Linked DNA regions of Struthio camelus. The protein of the gene in region 2 purifies or fractionates together with the protein of the main gene of each other region. This does not show direct contact. Links are inferred from orthologs where the notes say so. Each region holds a gene or a part of one and is shown on either strand. Other genes may lie near its edges.

What was found. The genes of interacting proteins can lie anywhere in the genome.
Region 1: the proteins of PTGFRN (region 2) and CD9 purify together in Homo sapiens (co-immunoprecipitation; 8 studies listed by BioGRID and IntAct, with this or other methods). This does not show direct contact. The link is inferred for Struthio camelus from reciprocal best matches to the Homo sapiens genes PTGFRN and CD9.

The regions. Positions count from the first base shown.
Region 1 is NC_090942.1:83,039,605-83,049,224, forward strand, and holds the start of CD9 (CD9 antigen), read right to left. Parts: upstream 6,094-9,620; 5' UTR 5,838-6,093; coding exon 5,772-5,837; intron 1-5,771. UniProt on the Homo sapiens protein: Integral membrane protein associated with integrins, which regulates different processes, such as sperm-egg fusion, platelet activation and aggregation, and cell adhesion.
Region 2 is NC_090942.1:106,095,040-106,104,659, forward strand, and holds the start of PTGFRN (prostaglandin F2 receptor negative regulator), read left to right. Parts: upstream 1-5,421; 5' UTR 5,422-5,520; coding exon 5,521-5,569; intron 5,570-6,057; exon of another isoform or gene 6,058-8,591; intron 8,592-9,620. UniProt on the Homo sapiens protein: Inhibits the binding of prostaglandin F2-alpha (PGF2-alpha) to its specific FP receptor, by decreasing the receptor number rather than the affinity constant. Functional coupling with the prostaglandin F2-alpha receptor seems to occur.

The DNA of each region.
Region 1 (9,620 bases), about 23 Mb from region 2:
ATCCATCCAGCAAGTCGTTGTCTCTGCTCGAGCAGGAATATCCTCTGAGGAAATCAGAAAGCTGAATTGCTGCTGGCTGTTCCTGGTACAGTACAAACATATGAGATTCTGGCTCAGAACAAGTCCCAGATATCTTTTAAGTTAGAGAAGGAAAAGACCCCTCCAGGCCTAACCTTATTAATCTTACTTTAGCAGAAACTCCCATAGCAAATGCATGCATTTGTTTACATGAACACAAACTCTGAAGCACTCAGAGTGAAGAGCTTGGACAAGATAGTTGCCTTACAGTGTAAGGGACCAAGAAAATTATTGCTTATAAATACTTAATGTAAATTTCTGACTGTGTGCTATTGCACTTCTTCAGTTATAATACATTAAATTATAAACTGTAACAGCAGATATCTTTGAACTGCACAAAATTCACAGGAAAAAAAATGGCATTTAAGTTCAGTGCTCAACTAAAGGTAGTAAACCCGTACAATTCAAGTCATTTGAGCATGTGGTCACATCAAGATTATTCCAAACCAACTGTGCTATGACTACTGCACCACTCGGGTTTAAAGCACATATTTGAATGGCTCCACTGACTCCTTGCTTGGGGGGGGGGGGGGGCAGAAGCTTTATGTTAGTTCTACATCAGTCTTAAAAGACATTCTGAACAGGTACAACTGGTACAGGTCAGACCGAAGACAAGGCCAGCACAGGAAAAAAACTAAACAAAAAAACCCCAACTAAATCCAGAGCAGCCGTACTCCCAACTGGAGTCACACACAGCAGCCATTTAAAAAAAAAAAAAAAAAAAAAAGCGCAGCAGTGAGAAGTTGAGTATGTGTAGTTGTTTTCTCTAACTGAAGGGAAAGTACACCCACTTATCACTCTCACACTTTTGAGCGTGAGCTATCCAGGGTGACTGGATGTCTACTGAACTACTTAACTACCACAACCACTCCCAAACTTAACTTCCAAAACTACTCCCTACAAAGTAAGCAAAAAAAAAACTCCATGCAAGTGCATCGGTTCAAGCAGGCTTTCAGAGGCGTGACAAGCACTTCTAGCAATTAAATGCAAATTCTCCCTACCCTCCTTTGAGGCAACAAGTATATCTTAGGCAGAACTCTGGAGATCTGAAAGTTTGAAAGAAAAAAAAAAAAAAAACCACACAACACCACCACCACACACTAGTGACTCACTAGCTCCCACTCTTAACACAGTCCATGGTCCTTATCAAACATCCCTTCCATACTCCATCCTCTTCTTTCTCCTAATGCTACCACATTCTTCCAAGGTAGGCAAGAGACCAGAACAGCACAAAATACTGCTGGACGTCAGCACATCATGGATTTGTACAGCAGCACTATTGTTCCTGTTCGCTTAGTCTCTCAGTCATCTCTGAGATCAGTCATCTCATCTTAGTCATCTCTGAATGCGATTTCCCTTCATCACTGCTGAATACCAACCCAGTATTTTTGGGAAGCTATCATAAACCTTTTCCTCCCAAGACCTCATCCTTCTATTGCAGTGGTTGCCTCTGAGCCTACCACAATGCAAGTCTGGACTGTTTCCTCTTCCCACTCTTCATACACATTACTTGATTTCTACCAACAGTGGACTTCACGTTCTATTTTGTCATACAACCGCTTTGAGCCCTGCTATTTCCCTATGCACTCATCTTTACTGCTTTGAGTAATGGATGCCACCCTCACAAAGTGTTACCTCACTACTTGCAAGCTCTTCCAAATTAAGTACAAATATAGATGACCACCCAGTTCACTCATGCTGGTCCTCTCCACTGTGAGGGAGATCCTCTCTCTATCTGCCCTTGCGGCGGTACTGCCTCCAACACTCCACCAAGAACAGACATGAGTGCATCCCCCACACTCCCAGCATCAGGTTTGCCACACTCCTCTCCGGTGCCAAGGTGGGTGGCAAGCCTAAGGCATTACCTCATCAATGTATTTCATCCTTCACTGTCCTCAAGTAACTACTGGGGATTAGCAGCTTGCCAGGATCACACATTTTCTGACATGTCACAACCTATTTGTCAAGAGGTCAATTCAAGGCTGTGAGGGACTCGGAGTCAAAGACATGTCACAGCCCAGGATTTTCCCAGAAGATCTTCCAGCAGAATTTTCTTTTTCTTAGTGTGTCTGTGAACTTCTCTTTTAACGCTCTTTCACACACACCTGGACTGACTACTGCCTCTCTGGCAAGCATCCTGGTTCTAGTGTGTCCAGAGAGGGGTTTATTAGGAGTAACTTGCAGAAGTAATTCTAACTAAAGCTCTTCCTTTGGCATGCTTTATTGTAGGTTTTTTTTTTTTCCTTAAATTTGGCCTGCCAGTATTTATGATTCTTTCTATTTTCTTCATTTGGATACAGCTTCAACAACTTCTGAAGGTGTCCTTTATTTCATTTTAATAACCTTCTATACCCAGTCGTTTTGCTCTTCCCGCTTCCTTTTGTCCTCAAGTCTTGATGGAAGCACACAGCAAATATATGCCACCTAATATGCTACCTGTAAACACTCACAGGTTTGCAGCAGACTGTTTAAACTCTTCACCTGTCTTTTTGAGGCAATTTATTTAAAAAAAAAAAAAAGAGTACTATGTAAATGTAATCAGAAGTGCACTGAATCCTTTGCTTTCTGTTGTTTCAGGCAGCAAACTGAATCCAAACAAATCATTATCACCATTGCAGAGTAGGCTCTAGGACAAGGAGACTCAGACCTTTGAGCTACTTACTTCTCTTGGGGGTTCCCTAGCTAGCTGCCCCTGAGACAGTTGCTGATTACACCTTCAAATTTAAGTGTAGAATTACACTCTGAAATGACATTTTTGCCCAATTTACATGGAATTGGCTCTTCACCTCTCCTATGCTATATGAAGCCTGCTCATGGGAAGAGGTAAAGCCTTGTTTCTCAGTAGAGTTGTTCCCCCCACAGGCTGCTGCCTGCCCCAAGAGAGTTTTTTTTTTTTCCCCTCCTTTTTTCTTCTCCCCCCCCACTCTAAAAACCTGTTTGCAGAAGCCTAACAGTTTAAAAGAATCTAAGATATCCTCTATAGATAAATAAAACAGAGGTATGAGGTTCACTTTAACATTGCACTTGAAAAGCCCCTTCAGTAGTTTCTGTAAAGCACATACATACATGTAATGAGCCCTGAAAACCAAGGACTACTACTGTAAGTCACAGCTGCTCTACATATGTATTTATCCCTGAAAGATCCTAGGTGTTTTACATTTATTATCTATTGATGTTTCCGCTGCTTGTCAGGATACTTAGAGGAACAAGTATTAATCCCCCTTTTATTACTCTTATGGGGCCTCTTTTTTGCCCTCTTCCTTTTTGCCCTGTTCTCATTCAGTTTAAGAAGCTAACACAGCCAGCGCAGCCCACCCGCTGCTGGGAGCAGCGGCCACTTTGCTCAAGGAAGAGCTTCAGCAACAGGTCTGCTCCACGGTCAAGCTGTTTTCTCAGGTTTCAACAAGGTTAAGTTTAGCACCTCATTGAGATAAATACAATATCAAAAGCTACACAGATTACTTGTATTTTTCTTATGTTTCAGGATAACAAACATGTACTTAAACTGCCTAAGTGACCTGGTATTTCAAAATTGATTACAGCAAAAGTAGCACTTGATTCAGCTGCAAGTACCAGCACCGCAAATTAATTTAGAAGTCTGAGAGATGACACTAAAGCTAAGACATGTTTACAACATGCAAGGCATCCAAAAGTTTCATCCAGTGCACTGTTAGATGGTTTTTCCCTTATCAGTCATCCTCCTCCAAATATGAGGACTTTCCTCTCCCAATACCTATTTAAAGTTTGGTGAGTCTAGGATGGAAATACTTTCTGTGTCCTTGTAAAGTTTCCCCATGCAAGTTCCCTTGCTTTCCCTCAACTGCAGCCTGAATCCATCTTCACACTCTACTGAAACCAATTTTTAGCTTAGGAGATCAGAGCACTTTATCCATTAACACTGTACCTGCAATCATCCCATGTGCAGCACTGCTACTGACCACAGAAGGATTTTCTTTACACAGCTCTAAACTCATTTCTCCATATTGCAGGGTAAGTGGGTGTAGAAAACACACACGCATACTGCATTTATCCCTGAAGGAGATAGCCTAGAGGAAAATAACTTAAAAAGGGGGGGGGGAGAGGGAGAAAGAGAACAACCCAAAAAACAACACACCCTCAAAACCCACCTGCTCCTAGAAGTAATTCCCTTTGAGCTCACACTTCACATCTAGAAGTTATGCATGCAGTGCTCTATTGCATTCCCTTTGGCCTTTTTCCACAAAGCAGACAATATTAAATTCAGATGTGGCCGCTTCTCAAAGTACTTGGGGAAACAGACAACTTCTTAATTATGCCATGCTTCCTGACATGGCATAGCTGACTAGAGGTAGCCATGCCAGAAACTACACTCAAGACAGCTTTCACTTGCTGTGTCGTGCTCTTCAGATTAAGCTATTTTAGGACTTTCTTTAGGAAATGTTTCCTACAAGATTCGAGGCAGCAGCTACAGCTTTAGCTGAAGTTCCCACCAAGACGAGTAAGACGATCATGATCACAAGCTCCAATTTGCACATAGCTAGTTCACCACCCCTTGCCATAGCCTGCTCACCTAAAAAGACTTCAGCTTTGCGAGCAAGTTAAACTCAAGGAGAGTTTCTGTGCAAGTGTTGTATATGCTGCTGCGAGGGAAAAAAAAACCCGAAAAACTACCTTCAACTGCCGCATTTCCCCCCCTCCGCCCTCCTCAGACACATCAACAGGGAGGATACACAGTCTGATAAAAGGATTTTCTGCCTATGGGTCTAGGAAGGGAAGTTTTAAAAGAGTAACGAGCTGGGTATGCATCTTATTCGAATGCCTCTTGCTGAACGTACCACGCTAGATATCATAACCGCAATATACACATCATATTATTGAGCACATGAGACACAGCAGCAGCTTCGCTAGATCCTCCTGCACTTCCACAGCCGCCCGGCCGCCTTTAATCGCGAGGCAGGGAAACTCCCCGGCCTTCGCCGCCACCTGACTGCGTGGGCGTTTGTCTGCACCGCCGCCGCGGGCAGGTAACCAGCACCTGGCCGGCGGCCCGGCCCGGCCCGGCCCCTGGCAGCGGGGCTCACCGACGGCGCGGGGGCAGCGGCAGAGAGGCGCGCAGCGCGCCCCGGGGCGGCGGGCGGACCTGCCCCCGGAGCGGGAGGGAGAGCCGCCCGCGGGCGCGCCGCCAGCCCGCTGCCCGCCGCAGCCGCCGCGCCCGCGGGGCAAGACCCGGGGCGTCGAGGCGTCAAGGCGGCAGCAGCACCCCCCCACCCCTCCCCACACCGCTGCCCCGGCACCGGGCTGCGCGGCTCCGGGCGCACGCCGCGCCACGCCACACCAGGCCGCCGCTCGGGGAAAAACTTCGGCAGGGCGGGAGCGCAGGGAAACCCCCCCCACCCGGGGGGGGGGGGGAATGGGGAAAACACCTAGTTCTCTCAAGGCGAGGCGGGGGAGGGGAGGAATGAAATTCCCCTCCCTCCAGCCCTTGCACAGGGTCACCCCTCCTATCCCCCCCCCCCCCCGGACCCCATGGGCGCAAGGGGGAAGAGGCAGGCGACGCAGGGCAAACGGCTCCTTCCCAAGGGAAACACGTCGGGGCAAGGAGAAACCGGAGCCCCTTGCTCCGTGAGGCGAGCCCTGGGCGGGCAAACACCCCTTGTCCCGGGCACGCCGGAGGGCTCCGCGAGGCAGGGTCGGGCCGGGCGGGGGCCCCTTACCCAGAAAATGAAGTTGAAGCCGAAGAGCAGGTACTTGATGCACTTGGTGCCTCCTTTCACAGGCATCCTGCGGGCCGGCGGGGGAGAAGCAGCGAGCAGCAGCGGGGCTCCGAGCTGAGGACGGGGCGCAGCGCGGCTACTTTCCCACAGTGCCACTCCTTAAATCTGCCTCTCGCCAGGTCCCGCTCCGCTTCCCCTCCCCCGGCTCCCCTGCTCTTTAACCCGGCCCCCTCTCCTCCCTCTGCCCCTGCCTTTGCCCTCCCTCCCGGAGCATTTGGCCCTCCCTCCTTCCCTGCTGTGCATTTCGCCCTCCCTTGTCCACTCTCCGCCCTTTCACCTGCCTCTCCGGCTTGCTCTGCCCCGCCGGCACCTTTGCCAGCCCGCCGCTCCGCGCCCCGCGGTGCCCCCCGGTCCCGCGCTCCCGGCCCCGGGCTGCCGCCGCCGCCGCTGCTGCTGCCGCCCCCGCGCTGGGCTGCTGCGGGGCAGAGCGCAGGGCAGAGGAGTCAGGGGAAATAGTTCTCGCATCATCGAGAGTTGCTCTACCAGACAGTGATGAAACAAGGAAAGACGTGCAAAAAGTAGACGCATCCCTACGATACGCAGGCCAATACTTTGCCGATTCTTGCATGGATTTAGTTAAACAAACTTAAATGCCTCAGCCCAGCTTCAATGGGTAACTTTCTCATGCAGGATACACTTAACAACAAAGTTAACAGGTAAACTGCTTTAATCTCTCAAATACGTCTGTAAAAGTTATGAGCATGGAATTTAGAAAGATGAGGTTATACCAGCGAAGAAGATATGTTGCTGCCCGTCAACTGATCCACAGTAACTGTTTGTGCGTATGCCTTTATTTCACCCGGTTGTGAGACAAAACACATTAATGTAAATTTCAGTGGAGAAGTTCGCATTGATTTGAATTGGAAGTTCAGCCCTCGGCATCTGATTCTTACTAGGGTAGTAATGAAAACTGAGGGCCCATATCTCAATTTGTCATTATTAAAGTAATGACAGAAGTTATTGAGAGTCAAAAAAAAAAAAAAAGCAGAACAGAAAAAAACAGAAAAGCCACTGAAATGCAAACAAAAACATGTTGATGCTTTTGTTGCCAAAATAAATGATAACGTGAAATACATTCCAGAGCTAATACAGTAGAGGAGGGATTGAATTGGACATCAGTTTTGCAGAGAAGGTTGCAAAATATTGATATGTTTCCATTAGAAAACAAGACAGAAAAATACATAGCTAGGAGAAATTCAGAGAGAGAGCGCATACAACTGTACATGGGGAAAGATGGCAGGCTGCTGCATTGTTGTTTGTGAATCAGGCTTGGCTGTAGCTAAGAACCAAAATGGCCCAAAGGCCCCAGTGTCCCAAGGTAGGATAGTGGGGAGCAGGGTCATGTTAAATGATGCCTTCTTAGCTTTCTGCTGCTCTGATTCAGGGCCTTTGATTAAAAGACCATGTAGTACAGAGGGTCACGACCTTGACCCCGAGAGAAGGACAAATACCACTTAACCCCTCACAAAACGCTACCTAAAGCATTTGGGTTTGTTATGGAGGTCAGTAACGGGCAAAGGAGAAGTAGAGGCTGGCCACAACGGTATAGATCCAGAAAGGCTGATATTAGTAAATGGAGGTGACTAAAGCTCTTCTCCAGGGGTAACTATGGACTAAACACAGATGGTCAGTGAACGTACTGTGTTTCATTCTCGACTGTGACTAATTTTCTATATCACTTTTAAAAATTTCTCCATTAATAATTTATGCCTCCTAGTCAATGTCAGTAATGTTCCTTTTCTTAACTTTCTAAAATTTTTGAGCGCTTTAGATAAAAAAAAACCCATGATATTATTAAGCTTTTCATGCTTACACTGTGTTAAAGCGGCTCCCATGAAAATCAGGGGTGGTAGGTACCTTTTCGATTAGAAGAAGAAATGGACCTGATGGATCAAAACATCCTGTGAGTTTGTACTTACTGAAATCCAAAGTTTCCCTGCTCACCCAGGAAATTAATTTATTAAAAGATGGAACTGATGTATTTGTTTTTAGTATGAATAGCAAGATACTGCTAGCAAACAGTGTGGGTTTTTTTGTGTTTATTTCCTGATTACTGATTAGGTTTCATGATCCAAATGGTTGGACTAAACTTGTAAGAAACTGTATACAGAGAGGGAAAAGCCCAATCTTTTGTCTTTACATCTTCAAAGTTATTAGCAATGCATTACTAAAAGGAGAGGTATGTTTTAGGGTTTGAATAAAAAACTGTAATGTAAGTGACATAAATTGAACTTAAGGATATGGAATGGAAAGAGTTAGAATCCATGCTTATCTCCTTTTTTTCTTTCTTTATGAGGGTAAGGAGAGGACATTCATATTTCAGCCTTTGAGCGTGTAGTTCTGCCATTACTCTCTGAAAGTAATCTGAACTTCTCTGAGCATTTTGGAATGAGATAGTAATCAATTGAATTTCTGTATAATAGAAATCACTGTTGGATATCTATGGCCATTATAAAATTATTTCGTAATGATTTGTTATTTTAAAAGCTTGTATTTACATGGGAGAACAGGCCAAGACAATTTGCACTACACATTTATTATCTGCACTTAAAATTATAATGGATGGTTAAAGTGTTATTTTCTCCTAGTGTATCAGAGAAGGGCAAATTCAGGACATTTCTGTCAAGGAGAAGTCCAAATTTACCAGAAGCTCTTTAAAATTACCTTTCTAATCATCTAGACAGGACGCTGACTTAGTTTTCATCTACAGATAACCCAAATTATTTTTTTCTATTTTAATTTGAAACTAAATTCAAATTAATTCTTGCTGTGCCACTAGTGAAAAAGTGTGTGCTTCTCACAGAAAAGCACCTTCTCCTCAGGCTGTGCTATCCAAAGAACTTTGATCCTTTGATTAATAGTGAGGGAAAACAGAAAGGGTTCCTTCGCCACCTGTATTAAAGGATACTGGAAACCACTAGTAAGTACTGCAGACGCGCACAGTCTTGCAGCCTCCTTGACCACTTTTCCCCCTATGTCTACCTTTGTGAATATATGGAAGGACTTGTGTCCGCTAACTCAATTCCTTTAATATTCTTTGCATAAACAGTTTCAGATTTTTTAACATGTTTCTTCCAGCTCCTTTCAACATCCAGGCACAGATGATTCTAACCACCGAGAGACAGACTGCAAAGCTTTCCTCAGTGAAGGATAGAGATTAACAGAGGTTCTTGAGAAGTGCAGAGCAGAGTAGAAAAATAATAACAATTTTCATCTTTGTAGAAAAATAACATCTCTTATTGTTCAAGCCAGTCACAAAAGAAAGAAAAAAAGGCCGTTTTGTTTGCCTTTTAACTTCAGTGAAATTTTTTTGCTTTGTAACTTGTGATTGTGGTACGCTCTGTCCAGGGCTGGAGGCAGCGATCAGGCGAGCAGAGGGGGCTGCACAACCGCACAGCTTCTCTGCTGTCATGTAGCTGAGAGTTTACAATGACCCAGACGACAGCAATGTAGGGATCTGCGGCCTCCTAATTCCTTTTACCCCTTGAAGTCCTGAGTACATCCATGTACCCCTCAGTTTAAGTATGTTAGTTCTTCTGATCTACTCCTTTCAGACAATTTTTAAAGATACTTATTTCTATTATTTTAAATGCTACAATAATTTGGAGTAGGGTGATACATGAGAGAGAGTTGTAACATGTAAGTTTTCCTGTTGGTTTTTCCCTTTGGGGCTGTGAGGGACAGAGGTTGGTCTTTGAGCTGGAGCATCAGGATTTTCATTTCATTGCAAAACTGGCTCATAGGATCAATCATCCTGGTAAGACAATGACAAAAACACTGTCCTTCTTT
Region 2 (9,620 bases):
AGGGAGGCAAGAGGGAAGTAAAAGACACTCAATTTTCATTGCTGATATATCATGCAAGACAGTTTCCAGAATGTCTTCAGAATAAATAAGAATAAATAACTGCAAATGTAGAATCTATTCCATGCTTGTTGGTAAGTAGCTTTTGGTCTGTGGTTGAGGAGAATCTCTCTTAAGGAGAAGATGAGAGAAAATTTTAATTCACTTTTCAAAACCTTTCTTAGGGCCGTGGCTTGGAGCATCAAGGTGCACTTTACTAATGCATAAATACCATCCAGGTCTTATTGGTATTTGAACAGCAGTGGCAAATAGTTTGTTTGACCATTTTGTCCTTTCAGATTTCAACTAGGTTTTCAAATAAGTCATTCACCAATACTTTTTCCTCGTGATTGGTTAACTCAATAACCAGCTGAACAATGTTCATCCTACAAATTGCTTACTTTTTTTCCCCTCATCAATCTGCAAATAATTTATTCACAAATACTTTTTACACGAGGTAGCCAGCTCTAGCCAGGACAAATCAAGGTAATTTCCTACTATTTTGATCGAACAGCAGTACGACTTTATCTTGAACAGATCAATAGAGACAGGTTTTAATACATAACGGGTAAGCCGAGTTTTTCACAATTCTTTGTGAGCTCTCTGCTTTTCCTCGTATATCTGTTCAGCTCCTGAGATTGGAATGACAGGGGGGCATATCTTTTCCATCCAGGTATGCTTGGAAGCATTTCACAAAACCAACTGTACAGCTTAGATGGTGTAGGGATCCCAGCAGCCACGACTGCAATGGGGCAGCCTCTTGCCTGCGACATGGAAGCTGTTTAACAGAGCAAGGCAAAATTTAACAGGAGTTGAGGAAAGGAAATGAAGAAGAGCATTATACTCGCTTCAAAATACAAAGGGAACCTAGAGGCTCAATGAAACCAACCAATGTGAGTTTGGCTAGCACACCTCTTCAGAAAAAGATCTTTAATGAGCTACCGAACCCAAGACAACACATCTACACGTAAATATCTCCAGGACAACGTTTGCACTGCAGTTCCCTTTCCCCTGGGCTCTCATGCAAGCAGTTCGGAAGCAGCTGACAGTCTCTGTCCTGCCCTTAAGCAGCTGAGCACGGCCACATCTGTCTGTCTGTCTGTCTGCCTGTCCCTCTCTCCTGTTGCAGAGATCCGATGGCCACCACACACTAGGAGCAAGGGGCCTCTCGAAGCTGAGGCAATAAGACCGAAAGATTGCTCCCCTGCCTAAGGTCTACAGGCAGCAACTTGCACTGCGCGCAACTTGCACCTTCCAGCCACTGCCCCCAAACAGGGTGCTGGGTGCTTGTCTGGAGGAGCCTTCTGAGGGGCTATCTGAGATGTGTGGGACTGTTAAATGCTGCTCACGCTTGCACCCTGCGCAGGCCTGCTCTCCTTTGCCCTCTGCTGCCCAGGGAATGAGCTGGACAGACAAAACAAGTTGTTTGTCCACGTTTGTCATGAGAGAAACTCCACAAAAACCTGGCCAAGTAGGTGTTGACGGAGTGCCGCAAGTAGGGAGGGTTTGCACGTGGGTTTCTTCAGGATCTGTGCGTGTTCATGTTCATATGCTTACACGTATGCATGTTGTTTAATACAACCCTTCAATCTGGATCTTTACCGGAGATTCGGCTGGTTAATCTAGTCACCCCAAAACGAGCGATGCCTTCAGCCAAGGCATTGTGCAGAAATCTAGTACAAAGAAATGTAGGCAAACTTTTCCGCAGCATCATGAATAAAGCATACAGTATCTACCCAACAACAACAACGTGCTAAACTCTGAAAGTCAAACTGGATGCCTTCCTGAGAAACAAACAACTGACCACATATTTACTTTGCGTCTCATAAATAAATATGGAGAAAACACAAAAACAGAAGAAGATATTTGTCTCTGCTTTATACTCGGAGAAAGCTTTTGACTCAGTCTGGCTTCCACGGCTGAACTATACAAAATGGAATTGGCAAGGGGAAAAAATGACATAATCACATACATGTAACAATCCATTGAAAGTAGGACACAGAAAAAAGAGAAGAAAATGGGCTTTGAAGCAAGAAGGTAGACTAACAGTGTGGTCAACTTGGGCCCTGTTGTTTCGGGCACCTGCACTGGTGATTTATCAACCGCAGAGGAATAGTTACCAAATTGAATGAGGGATCTCAAACATCTGCTTAAACTGTCACAGAGTTATGAAATGTATTTGAACACAGTTCACTGCAAGGCCATGTAGTGAAAAAGAAAGAACATCACTGATGAATGGCAGGATAAAGGTGCGGTCTTGGAAAACAGAGATGCAGAAAGAGACTTGGATATTCAACATGACAACGCCCTCCGCACAAGTTCTTTGTGCAGTGTTGATAGTTAAAGGTCTAATTCCATTTCTAGAGGTGTGAGAAGGGGAATACCAGGTAAAGAGAAGGAAGTGACTTTGTCTCTGTGCGCTGCACGTGTGTATAGACACAGGTGCCCAGGTGTCAAAAGGTATTTAGAAATATGGGAGAGTCTGAAAAATGCTACAGGGGTCAGAAACCAAATCTTATAATGTGAGGCTTCACAGAAAACAACCTATTCAGTTTAGCAAGGTGAGCTGACTGTGTATAGTTACTTATCCGTGAAAATGGGATGAGTGTTCAGTTTCGTAGACAAAGTCATAACAAGTTCTGATGTCTAGAAGTTGGACAAATTCAACCTTGAAAGAAGCAATTTTCTAGCAGTAAGGATAATTAAACACTGGAATAAATTAGTAGGTGGGGTGAGGCACTCAACACTACTTGGAATCTTAAGACAAGATGTGTTGTCTTTCAAACAAACTCACTTTGATCCAGCGCTGGGAAAAATTTCTATGGCTTGTAAATACAGGTCAGATTAACTGATTACATGGCCCCTTCTGTCTAGAAGTCTGAGTATTATGGGGAGGAAAATGGTTCCTACTAAACACTAAGTGAACAAGTCAGTTTACACTTGAGGATACTGCACACCACAGCTCAGAGTTTTACCTGTATTTTTCACCAATTAACAATGCAAAGCAATGGTGAAGTAGACCCCTGTATCCAACTTTGACCGTGAATGCACTGGCAAATTCCAAGCTGGGCAGTCATAAGGAAAAGCTTTCCAATGACATAAGGAAAATAAAATTAAGTCGATCTCTTGGAGAAAGTTACTGCTTGTAACTGTTCAGCAGTTTAATTCAGGTCTTGAATTGGTAATCCTAAACGGGCAACAGACCACAGGAAATACAAAGCACAGAGCAAACAGGAGCCGGGGCTCCTGCAAATACAGCGGGCTTGTGCATACAGTGAACTTTACATCCATGACTACATTTATACGTACCTATTACCATCACTGGCACAAGGCTGGAGAGGCACAAGGGGATTTATTTTCAGGGCTGAAGTTTGATGAAGCCTCAGTAGTTTAACCAGAATGACACAGGCATACGAGTAAGGGGGAGAGATCTTCTCATCTGTTTTCCGAATGTGAAGTAAGTGACATGTCTTGGTTCACAGAAGTGATGTTTTTCAGTGAGGAAAAAAGTTTAGAAGAAAATGTATTTGAATGCTGGCCAAAGAAGGAGATAGAGCAGAAAAATCACAAACAGGCAGCAAGAGCAAACGGGCCTAGGAGGATACTGTAGACCTAGATGCAGTCGGTCCTATTTTGTTGGGGAAACCCTTTCTCAATCAGGCCTGAATTTGGTCTTGTTTTCAGTTTGGAAGTTAGCAGAGCTTATGTCCCAACAGGGCCGAGTCCCCAGGTAGCCCACAGCTCCGGCTTTGCAAAGGTACCTGACGTGTTCAGGTAATCGTGGCTGCAGGGCCAAAGTGTTCCTAATCAAGGGTCTGGCTTCAATCGTATCGGTTAACACCCTCTCCTCGGCAGCCAAGCATTAGAAGATAACAAAGTCCAATCTAAAATCCGCTCTGGTAGTCGTTCTCAGTTATGAAGGCAGTACTTACTTCCTGCTAATGGAAGCAAACAACCTCACCCGAAGCAGGGCATGCCAGGTGTGTGGAGATGCCGAAACACAGCCAAAACCAGCACACACGCCGCAGGAGGAGCAGCTCCAAACCCCGTGAGGGCCGCGGAGACCATCCATGTTGCGAAACGTGTAACATGGAGCTAGCTCCACCAAACAACAGAAAATCGGGTAGCCTAAAGGAAACTGGGGGAGTTACAGAGCAAAAAACACAAATGCACACAGGGAGAGCGCCAAATTTGCAGTTAATGTGGTGAGGGGATTGAGACGACAGATACTGTCCAGATGACTAGAGAGCACGCAAGCTCCTCAATTCTCTGTTTTTGCAAACAAACAGGAAATTAAATCTCCGAGCAAACAAAAACCTCTGCAGCCAGACCAGGAAGGACAGCGGCGGTGGCACTAATGCTGCAGCCTGTCACTGAATTAAGAAGGGACGCAGGCAGCGAAGGAGAAACCGCAACCACCACGTGCCTGCAGCGAGGTGTCGAGCGATGGCCCCTTCCCAACGCAACACCCACGGCCGTGGCGCCTGCAGCAGCAGCAGGCACTCGCCGTGGCGGCGAGCGCCGCTGGCCGGACTGCGCCAAGGAGCGGGCAGGGGACAGGGCAGCCCCCGCGCTGAGGCCGGCGGCTGCGTGGGGACAGGAGACACGGGTGGGACCCAAGTATCTGCGGGAGGGGGGCGGTGCAGGCAGCAGGAGTGTTACCACGGTGGTTGCGGTTTGGGAGATTGCGTGCGTGAGGGGGAAGGAAACCGGAGCGGAGCCTGGAGTCAGGGGGTGCGTGGCTGGGCGGGTGGGGGGGAAGGCCGCCTTTGGGGTTTGCGTGCGTGGGCAGCGGGGTACCTCCGCCGGGGGGTGTGTGTGTGTGCCTGTGTCCTGGGGGGCGGGAGAGCCGGGGGGGAGCCCCGTTTGGGGGGCAGAGGGCAGAAGCGAGCCCCATCTCCGTGTGACTGGGGGGGGGGGTTGCCAGCGCCAGGGCGGGGCTCCGCGCGGCGCCCAACGGCCGCGGGGGCGCCCAACGGCCGCTGCCGAGGGGGCCCCGCCCCGCCCCGCCGCGCGCCTCCCGCCTCCCCCCCTGCCGGGCGCGGGGCTCCGGCGGCCACGTGTGTGCGGAGGCAGCGGCCCCCGGCCGGGGAGCGGCGGCGGCACCGCCCTGCCCGCAGCGCGGCTCGGCTCGGCTCGGCTCGGCTCGGCTCGGCAGGGGGCTCCCCCCCCCCTCGGCTGTCGGCGGACGGGCCGGCGGCGCCTTCTCTCCTCCCCTTTCAGGGGGTGGGGGCCGGGCCGGGCCGGACCCCCGCGCCGCCCCGCTACCTGCGGGCGGGGGCGCGCGCGGGGGCGGGCGCTGGGGAAAGTTTGTGTCTGTGGTTGGCTGCGCGGCGCGGCGTGGCCGGTCGGGGCGGGCGGGCGGGTAGCTCCGTGCAGCTCGCAGGGCAGCGGGAAGGCGAGCGGCCGGTCGGCGGGGAGCGCGCAGCCGCCGGGCCCCGGGCGAGGCGAGAGGCACGCGGCGGGGCGGGGGGTCCGGCCAACATGGGGCGCCGCGGGGAGCGGGCGCCCTTCCTCCTCCTCCTGCTGCTCGGTGAGCCCGGGGGTGCGCGGCCGGGGGCGGGGGGGGGGGGAGGAGGAGGAGGAGGAGGGGGTCGGGCGTTTGCCCGCGGCCGCCTCGCCGGCAGGTAGCGGGTAAGGGCAGGGCAGGGCAGGGCGGGTCGTCGCCCGCGGGCCCAGCCCCGGCCGCGGGGCGGCCTCAGGCGGGAGGGGCCGCCCGTGGAGCCGCCTGAGGCGCGGCGGAGCCCCTCGAGGGGCCGGCGGGTGGCGGGGCCGCCCCGCCGTGCTGCGCCGCGCCGTGCCCGGCGGCCGTTTGTCAGCCGCCGCCCGGCCCGGCTGCGGCCGTTAACGGCTGGCGGCGCCCTATGGGGCTGGCGAGCCGGGGCCGGGGCGGTGCGAATGCGGCTGTTTTTCTCCCCGAAACTTTAGAGGGCCGCTAACGAGCAGAAATGGGGAGGGGATGCTACTTCGTGTGGCGTGTGGTCGCCTTGCGGAAGGGGCCTGCGCAGGAGGTCAGGGTGGTTCGGGGTGTCGGGCTCTGTACGGAGGTGGGGTGATGCTGGCAGTATGGCAGTAGTTGCTCTTATGTGACCTGGTGTATTGGGTGCCCTGTCTTTAGGGCGAGCGTAACGAGATCTCACGTTGCAGAGCACGAAGTGACTCATTTCAAGGGTTAGGAGGTGATCCCTCTCCTGTATGTTCCTCAAGTGAAATAACAGGAGGGGTCTCTGAAACCAGGGACAGGGACAGAAACCTGGACTGTGGTCACACAGGTGTTTCTCGGTAATGCTAGTACTTCTGTGCCCTTTTCCCTGCTCTTCCCCCACTGGGTTTGCTACCTCTGCTGTGAAGTGCCTGTGTTACATGATAACAAATATCGAGTAGTTGACATTATGCTATGTTCAAATAGTTGTGTAGTTGACATTAGATTAACATGTGGTAGTGCTCTTTACCACTGTCAGTTCCAGACGAGCAGCGTGCGGGAATAAATACTGGGGGCTCTTCAGAGCAAGAACTATGCAGAAGGGGGTGGGGGGGACAATATTTTTAGTGCATTCGTTTTGTTTTGCAAAGGAATGCTGGACACATAGCAATGTTGCTAACGGTGTTACTGAAGTAGTAGTGTATATAACCAGAGAACAAGATTGTCCAGGTAAGATAATTATGTGCAGTATTTAAATGGTGCTGTGTCAGCTCTGTGCAGTGAGAAGTACTGGAGGTGTTGGTAAGCGAGCATAGCCCACAAATTGTTATGTGCAGTTGTTGAACCAGGCCACTTGGCTAATTGCAGGTAGTAAATGGGAACCTTTTCCAGATTTGAGGTGGAAGGAGTGAGCAACCAAGCAGTCTCTTCCCGCCTTCCTCCCCTCACCCCCAAGAAACCCGTTCTGCAACACTTTCATTTAAACAAAGCCATATTAGCTAACCTAGTTTGGCCTTTTAATTCTGACATTGCTATGGCTAATTTTCCTTTAAACTCTGCGCTTTTCTTCATGGTTTGGCTGTTGAACCTTTCACAGAAAGATCTGCAGCACAGATAGTTAAAATTGAAAAATCAGCTTTCCAAATCTGGACTTGTACCAGTCTACTTCCTGAGGCTACTTAGAGGCAGTGAGGAAATCAGGATGGGGGATGTATATGCAAAAGTCAAGACCCTACCACACAGAGTGCTTTCTCTTACTTGCAGTCGAGGTTAGTAATCTCATTTCTCTTCACGATATAGGCATTTTGCGAGCTGGGAGAACAGTGAAGACCTGGAGAGAACACCTTTAACATTTCCTTAGAAACAGAAAGGGAATACAGTTTTTTCAATAGAATGGTTTAGTAGGACAAGTTGAAAATCAGGTCTCGCAGATACTGATTTTTACTTTTTGCTGCTTGACCTTGAGCACTTTCAGGATGAGATGCAACAGGAAAGTGTTGTGTTCTTCTTTCCAGACCAAAGAATTATAGGAACTTAAAATGTGCATATACAGATATTAGGCCACTGTTTGTGGTACAGTTTGTCTGAATGTTCTGGATTGCCTCCTGGGGATTTTTTTTTAAATCCAAATTGTGATATTCAAGTTAAAAGTGCTCTTGTGTCAGGTGGGAGGAAATTTTCAGTACTGCTTGAGATGTGTGTTGTGGTGTGGCTGTCTTCTGACAAGGTGGTCTTCCTTTCACTCTGGATGGGGGAAAAATGTGCTTCTGTTAAGGTGCATTTTCTAGCAGCTCTTTAACAGAGAGGCAGGATTTTTTAACTGATGCACTACAAGCATTCAGGAATTTTGTGTAAGCAAGGTGGCGAGAGGAGCTGAAGCACAGAAAAGTTCATCCCTTGCGTGTACTTACGCTTAATTGCTTTGTTCAGATCTTCACAAAATAACCCAGCAAAGGATACAAATGCCTAAAGTGCTTGTCAGTGACAGATAAGAATGTTTTCTCCTCCTTTCTCCTGGATCCAGTATAGTTGTTACCAAAGAGATCTGTTAGTGCCAGTCATGTTGGTAAGAAGATGGTGGAGCCTGGGTTTAAGGCTTGATCTAGTCCCTCTTTTCTTCCCTCCTCTGGTGTGGTTAGATCATGATGACGGAGAGCAGCATGAGGGAAATTTGCACTACCATTGCCTGTTTTAGGTGTAATTTCATTATGCAGTCAACCTACATCATCAACTTGTGAAATGCTCAGGAAACCAAAATATCCTTCCTTGGACAAGACTTTGAAAAAACAAAGCAGTTACCTGGTGATTACCAAGGCTCGGGGAGGAGGGGGGAGGAACACACTGTCACAGGGAAAACAGTAAGCCTTGCGGCAACTCGATTTTTTTTTTTTTCTGTTCCTGTTTGAGATTCAAGGTAAGAATTTAAATGTAACTGAGAAAACGCTGGCTTTTGTTTATGTGCTATGGGACTTGAGGAGAGCAGGCACTCAGCAGATCTTGGGGGAAAGGCACTGATGATGTGTTTCTAGAAGTGACCTTTTTCTTATTATCAGTCAGGCCTGTGTGACGCCCTCTGTCCACTCTGATGACAGCCAGCTCCAGCACTCCAGATCCCCAGATGCCACGCGTATAGGTGAATAGGATTATTTCCTATCACTTGTATCTGAAATTCTTTAGATTTTAGAGTGGTTTTTTTTTAATTTTCTTCGGAAGCTACAACAATTAGTCATTTGAATCAAGGTTTATTTCAGGCTCTGCAATAGAAAGCTTTTGGCAATTAGTAGAAGTTATTGCAATCTTGAACTTCAAGGAAACGTGTGCTTTATTCTTTCTCCACGTTTGCAGTTTATGGGAAAGCATTAGGCAGTTAAAGAGCCTTAAGGTGTGAGGCAGGGAGATGGTATAACGATGAGTGCCCAAGCAGCTTTCAAGGTGTGTTACAGTGGAATCTGCTTCCTGTTTCCCTTACTGGTGTCTGGACACCTGCCAGGGAGCTCGTTACTGCTATTGCAGGTGGCCTTTGCCTTCCTTCTCTTGGAAGAAAGCAGACTCATGTCCTCACTAGTACTTGGAGAAGCAGCAGTCAGCTAGACCTGTGTATCTCTGTAGCTTTGGAGGTGGTTAAAAAGGTTCCCAGAGGGGAAATACCAACAAACCTGTCCTGATCTTAGCAGCTGCTGGCTGCTAAGGTGGTAAAAGCATGTACTGAATGTTGGAAATTGGCTGGTAAAGCACTGGAAGGCAGGTGGTGTTCCTGAGGAGGAAGCATTTTCCGTGTGGTTTTGCCATACTGTTCTATTTTCATAGGATGTAGACTCTAGGAAGATGTGAGACTTCAAGAAAGAGGGTTATAGGGAGTGGTTTTCCCTCTGCATCCCATGTTCTTCCTGGTTTGTGAAAGATAACTTAGTCACCCTTTCTGGCTCTCGTGGCGTCTTTGTAGGTTCTTCTCCAAGGCCACTCTTTCGATGTGGCCAGCACAGGTGCTTTTTCTGAAATTTCTTGTCCTTGTTCTCCAGGTTTCTTGATTGCTACACTTCAACATAGCAGCAGCTTGTGCTTTCAGCAGCCTCTGTTGTATTTGGCTTCAGTCCCTGAACTGAGGTATAAACCTGCCTGAACAAGATTTAAAGTAAGCAGTAGGGGTCATTCAAAAATGCAG